Linked DNA regions of Xenopus tropicalis. Each later gene encodes a partner of the first gene's protein in a complex. Links are inferred from orthologs where the notes say so. Each region holds a gene or a part of one and is shown on either strand. Other genes may lie near its edges.

The links. The genes of interacting proteins can lie anywhere in the genome.
Region 2: the proteins of topbp1 (region 1) and brip1 are in contact, whole or in part, in a crystal structure (PDB 3AL3), measured with the Homo sapiens proteins. The link is inferred for Xenopus tropicalis from reciprocal best matches to the Homo sapiens genes TOPBP1 and BRIP1. Residues at the interface, in NP_008958.2 of Homo sapiens: Leu1272, Ser1273, Ser1274, Leu1275, Asn1276, Pro1277, Arg1280, Gln1298, His1311, Leu1313, Arg1314, Asn1315, Glu1316, Lys1317, Leu1319, Gln1366, Arg1407, Gly1410, Phe1411, Leu1414, Thr1466, Glu1467, Ile1469, Ala1470; in NP_114432.2 of Homo sapiens: Ser1129, Tyr1131, Phe1132, Thr1133, Pro1134, Glu1135, Leu1136, Tyr1137, Asp1138.

What each region holds. Positions count from the first base shown.
Region 1 is NC_030682.2:52,593,952-52,597,524, forward strand, and holds part of topbp1 (DNA topoisomerase 2-binding protein 1), read left to right. Parts: intron 1-451; coding exon 452-621; intron 622-2,081; coding exon 2,082-2,245; intron 2,246-2,807; coding exon 2,808-3,046; intron 3,047-3,366; coding exon 3,367-3,573. UniProt on the Homo sapiens protein: Scaffold protein that acts as a key protein-protein adapter in DNA replication and DNA repair. Composed of multiple BRCT domains, which specifically recognize and bind phosphorylated proteins, bringing proteins together into functional combinations.
Region 2 is NC_030678.2:91,927,107-91,930,058, reverse strand, and holds part of brip1 (Fanconi anemia group J protein), read right to left. Parts: intron 1,672-2,952; coding exon 1,339-1,671; intron 1-1,338. UniProt on the Homo sapiens protein: DNA-dependent ATPase and 5'-3' DNA helicase required for the maintenance of chromosomal stability. Acts late in the Fanconi anemia pathway, after FANCD2 ubiquitination.

The DNA of each region.
Region 1 (3,573 bases):
GTGCTCTAGCTAGAACTATATATTCTTAAAGGAGAAGGAAAGGCTAAGTCACTTGGGGGTGCCAAAATGTTAGGCACTCCCCAGGGACTTTTAAATACCTTTTACCCTGACTGGCGCTCCTATTAGGAGAAAACCGCACCAGCCGGGGTACCTGCAGCGAGTGTTGCCTGGTGCAGTTCTCTACTAACAGGGGCACCAGCCCGGGGTAAAAGGTAAGCGATTTAAGTCCAGGGGCGTGCCTAACATTTTGGTACCCCCAAGTGACTTAGATACCATTTAGAGGAGAAGGAAAGGCTGAGTCTAACATTATAGGAGATACAAACATTAAATCTTATTCATAAGAGGATCTGAAATTCCCCTATATTTGTGGCTTGTTTTCATACTGTAATGGTTTTGAGCAGTTTCTGTTTTAAGTTGACATTTAATACATATTTTTAATATATTTATACAGGTCGGGCCATTTATGATGTCAGCCAAATTTCAAATATAAGTACAAGCTGCGTTAACGAATCGGCTTTTAATTCTGTGATGACCAGCAGACTGGATCCTCCAGCAGATGCCCTTGAGAACTTGGATATCAGTTCATTACAAGCTCCAGAAGACCTTCTTGATGGCTGCCGAGTGGGTGTTACATCTATGCACATCTAGAGTGCATGAATAATCAGAAATACAGCAGATAATTTTGTCATTTATTATCTAGGCTGTTTATGGTCCATGGGCAATGTTGAAAATACTGTGAAACCATAGGATACTTTTCCTCATAACTTAACTACAGAAGCTCCCATCATTCCATACCACATATAAACTTTGTTAATGTGACAATTCTGGATGTTGTCTTACTCAGGCGGATTTTTATTTATGTTGGGGGAGGCTAAGCCTCTCCAAACCTGCCTTGACACCTTTAAAAAAAAAAAATTGCAGAAAAAAACACAAATTACCCTGCCTTGATTACTGTGTAATGCATGTTTAGCGGAGTAAGGGGTGATGTATGGCTTGTTGCCCCCTGTCACTGCATGCAGGCATCTTAATTGACTCCTGATGCTGGTTTCTTCCCGAGAGATTAAGTCCCAGTATCACTGGAATTGGATTGGCTGAAGGTAAACTTTGAGGCACTCTCCAGCCAATCTAATTCCTGCATGGCTGTACCGAGATTTAAACCAGCAGCATCCCATGATGCTGCTGGTTTAAATCTCGGTACAGCCATGTTAGAGTGCTGGGATTCCTGTTTATGAAGTTGCTGCTGTTGACACTGGAGGTAATTAGCTTCTACTTCCCCCCAAGCTGTTAAGGTGGCCATACACGTAGCAATAATGATCTTTCGTGCGACCATTGGTCGCAGGAAGGATCGTTCCCACCCTCCATTGATGTTCAGGGCTGAATCGTCCGATATGGAGGGAGAAACAATAGAAATTCTACTTCCACCTGTCACCTCCATCAGCCCTAAACGTAGATATTGCTTGGGGTCCTTCAACGGCGCCCAATCAAAATCTTTTAACCTGTCCATTCAATGCGACAACTGATATCGGCAGCCTTTGCGATATTGCCCATCACGTCGAGCCACCATACAATTATTTAATGATTTAATGTTCCTGCTGTCATTACCCACTGCCTCTCACTGTATTGAATATGCCTTTTGTGTAATGGCCCACTGCCTTTCACTAGATGCTTTGGATCAATTAGAAGGTTGGTTTCATTTAGAGAAAATGTTGAACATGATGTATGTATGTTTTTATTCAACCTTAATTACTATGGTACTATATCAGTGAGCAAGAAAGCATCTGAAAATATTTTCTGGCAAGGATACAGTTATTTTAATGCTGGTAAACTGAAAGGTACTTTTGGAAAAAAGCACTCCCACCTGCACTTCTGCACTGTTCCAACTAAAGTCAGTGGGAACTGCAAGAGGTAGTTAGGGATCAATTATATCGGCGCAAATCTAACATTACCTGTAAGTCAGTCTGTGTATGGCCAACGTTAGCCTCCCCAAAAAATCACCCTAGGGTCATACTTTAGCAACTGTTTTGCAGGCAGTTAACTATCCATGAGCTACATGTAAATGTTACATTTTCACCCTCTTTCAGATATATTTGTGCGGGTTTGGGGGAAGAAAGTTGGACAAGTTGAGAAGGCTAATCAACAGTGGTGGGGGTGTGCGATTTAGTCAGCTTACCGCAGATGTAACCCATATTATTGTTGGAGAAACTGATGAAGAACTAAAGCAGTTTTTGAGCAAAACTCAACACAGGTTAAGTAAAGACAATCTTTTTGTTTTTCTGTTGCAAATCTTAATGGAAATTTCATCCAGGTCAAATATTGTGGTTGACTTGTGCCTTTGTCAGTGAAATTATTATTACTAAAAACAGTAATATTAATTAAAGTCTATCACCAAATCAAATCATTAAAGTGAAAATGTATAGTACTAATGTAATTTTATAATACACAAAATTCTTTATATCTTAATATATCCTTTTTATAATTAAACAACTTATAAATAGAACAATTCTTTAATTACAGGTTGATTTGTTTTTGTCTGTAATGTCCTAGAGGCCCTTCACCTGCTTTCTGCATCTCTCAGGACCTTATTTTTGTCTGCACATTTACAAATTGATAGGGCTTGCCAATTATACTTAAAGTGAATGGCAGCAATGCTTTATGTGTACTGTATCTGAGTAACTCTAAATGTGATCCTATCACTTTTTGCAAAAAGTGGTCACAGTATCAACTACATTGTATTGTTTAGATTCTAGGGAATATATATATAAATATATATATATTTATAAAAAAATAACATATGCATTTGTTTGCAGGCCTTATGTGTTAACTGTAAAATGGCTACTGGAAAGCTTTTCAAAAGGACATCTGCAACCTGAGAACATATATTCCCATTCAAGCTATCAACAAACTGAGCTTTCTTCACCAGTTCAGCCTGCCTTTAATTTAACTGCTCAAAAGATCAGTAGTACACGAGGGCCTCTAAACCACACTCACAACCAACAGGCAGATGAGGACCTGCTGTCTCAGTACACAGAAAATAACTCCACTTTAAGTAAGAATTATAGTTAAATATTTTATTGTTCATTTGATATCTGTCTTTAACCTTGCTTGCATGCTTGATTTAAATGTATTATACTGTATTATATTATGTTCTTCCAAGCAGTGGTTGTCTTCAATCATTTTAATCATAATAGCCCTGAACTGGATTGCACTAAATACTTGTTACACTGTATTACTCTAATTACAAAGTGCCTTGAACAGTTTCCCCATTATTTACAAAATTATTTTTATGCCATTTATAAAGTCGTTTTGCTTTCATCTTTGCATGAACAAAAAATGTATTTTTATAACAATAATTTTCTGTTGTTCTAGTTGAGGACGAACATCCTAAAATCTCTAATACCAACAGTATTTCTCAAATGAGCATGCATGAAGATATGACATCTTGTACCAGCCAAAGTGGTTTGGCGGATACATCCACCATAATTGAAGGAGGCTTATTCAGCCGTAAACAATTCTTGGTGCTGGGCTTTTTGGAGGAAGATGAGGCATGCATCATAGACATAATAAAAAAGAATG
Region 2 (2,952 bases), on another chromosome or scaffold:
AATTCCATTTAATTACATCTTAGCTGGCTCCAAGTAGAAGTTACTGTTTCCTTACTGTAATTATGAATTATTTGATTAAAGTGGCTTTTTCTGTAATTCTGAGATTTCTGGATAATGGATCCCATACCTGTACTTATTTAAAATATACAATTCTAATTAAGGCTAGTGTCACATGTGACTGGCTAAAAAACCTGTGCAGTCATCCACTCTAATAACATAAAAATGCCCACAAGAGGTGACAGTCAAATGATGTCTTAACAGGCAGTGAAAGGCTTATAAAGCCAAGCCACCTGATCTGCCATTAGCTTTAGGCAATAATATTATATATAAATATATATATATATATATATATATATATATATATATATACTCACTGCCTTTGTTATAATGCAGAGGGGCAGTTTGGACATATTACTCTACTAGGGCTTAGTATGATGGACAAATTACTGCATAATATGTTGGCACTATATAAATAATAAGAACTGTTTATTAATAATATTATGTTTTGCATAATGGATTGAGGTGCCAATGCCATTTAAATTTACTGCAAAGCCAGTTTAAAAATAAATCCTCATTCATAACTCACAGTGTTATTAATGATAGCGACACTACAAGATGCTTTTTTTATGGATTGACAAAGTAATTTGAACATGATGCATTGGCCACACTGTCACAATGAATAGCGGCACTTGCTATATCAGCTTAAAGGGGAATTTCACCCAAACATAACTTAAGCTTTTTGAAAAGTAGACATTATTTCAAGCAACTTTGCAATATACCAAAATTAAAAATATGCAGCCTTTTCAGCCTTTTTTAATGTAATAATATGGTTTTGAACAGTTACCTAAGCCCCTGTTCCCCTACTGATCTGGCTTTGAGACTCAAAAAAATCAATGTAACAGTAGTTGACTGTCCTCAACCTCAACCTGCATCCTCCAAATCCCACAATTCCCTGCACATGTGATGTCAGTACAGAACATTGAAGTGCAATGCATTGTGAGTTATGTCATTTCTGCATGCTGTCTGTAAGCTGTGGAGACCTAGTTACAATTTGTAACATCAATGATTTAGTCCCTCCTCCCTTGCCAGGATTTCAATTGATGCAAGAAGAGAAGATCTGTTTTTGCAGCTGGATTTCAGCATATAAAAATAGTATTTATTCATACATTTGAAGAACAGATTATAGTGAAAGGTATACAAGGGGTGTCTGTGTTGTGCCGGGCTCTTAATCAAATTTTGGCTTGGAAGCCAGAGTTCCCCTTTAACTTCCAAATATTGATGAAAATACATGTGCCTCCATTTCAGTTTCACAATAAGCATCTAACACAGTATACTTACTATTATATCTGGGAGCAGTACCAACAAGAGATGCTGGGATTGGACTTAAAGGAATTGCAATCTCCGGAGGTAATGTTGAACTCTGAGTGGAAAAAGTTGGTTGTGTGAATTCACTGACACTTTGTGTAGGATGAACTGTGAATTCCAACAATGAAGATGTCGGAGAGGTATTCTTGGAAGACGACGGTGCTCCCAGGGAAGGTTCCTCATCGCAGGTTGTACTGGATATTTGCATTCTCTGCTGCTGATTTTTTGAGAATTCATTTAATGACTCAAGTGCTCCATTAAAGGTAGAGTGGTGCTGTACAAGCTGCCGCACCCATTTGGATAACCCTATTAAAAGCATTAGACAGTTAAGCAAATGAGGAATGAAATGATAGATTCATAAACTTAAGACAGCTTCCGTAATTACATTTAGCTGCATGAAAGCACTTCATTAAAGACAAAAATATAATCATGAAAAAAAATCTCTATGTCTGTCGCCTCATTCTCTCTCTATATCTATATCTAAATATCTATCAAGCACTACAAGCACTGACACAAGTGTGTGGGGGGGGATAACAGGTCATTACAGGTGCTTAGTTAACCAAAACCAAATTTATGTAATTATTTACAATATGAATAAGTCTTCAGCAAGACCGTTTGTAGCACTGCACAAATACTTATACCAATTGCTATATCCATATAACAGTGTGTGCTTCTTCTGTAACAGGGTACAAGACAAATATACCGCTGTGAGAAAGGCTACTGTAGCTCTATCCATGTCCAAGTTACTGCATTTCTTTACTCACGGTGGAACTTGAGCTCCCCCTGCTGACGTCTAAAGCAAACGACAGCTTTGGTTCAGATTCTTTTTCATTTTTCTTGCTACCCGCCTCACAGCTAAAAGCATTTTGCGCTTAAGGGAAGCAATTTGTTTGCCAATAAGGTTTCAGATACTGATGTATGCTTTTTAAACATCCAAGAAATGCCTCCTATATAACTAGTAACAATAAAGATGATTACTAGAAAAAAGTCTGTCTTTGATATTTTTAAAATGATTCTCCTACTATAATCATATTGCTGGTTTTTAGTAACATTCAGCCAGATATTGTCAGCAAGAGAGGCTTTGGCCATAGCAGTTCCCTTTCCAGTTCAGTTCCAATTAAACAACTCTTCCTTTGCAACTTAACCTTACAATAGGATCTCTTGCTTTTTAATGACAAAAGGCTTTTGAGGTTCAATTTTTACTACTTTTTTGGGGTGTGGCTGGGGATGGTAAAGTGGGAATCAAGTGAATTCATTTTTAAAGAACCCCACCCAAGCAATAGGTGAGACAAATATCTAATAACCAGCTGAATGCATATAATTAGCTGTAACGGCTTCTCAATACTGTGGGACAGTTTTGGATTCAAAACTGCACGTCAGACCATGATAAAAACACACACACACACATATATATATATACACATATATATAAAAAGCGACATAAATGCACATGCGAGCAACATGTTCTGCTTCGAGACATATAGTATTTTGTCTGGAACCTAAAATTTAGCATAACCTGCATAGATATAGATTCAGTTGTGCTGGAATGATAGAATACTATTGTCACTATGTATATTTAGTCTCCAT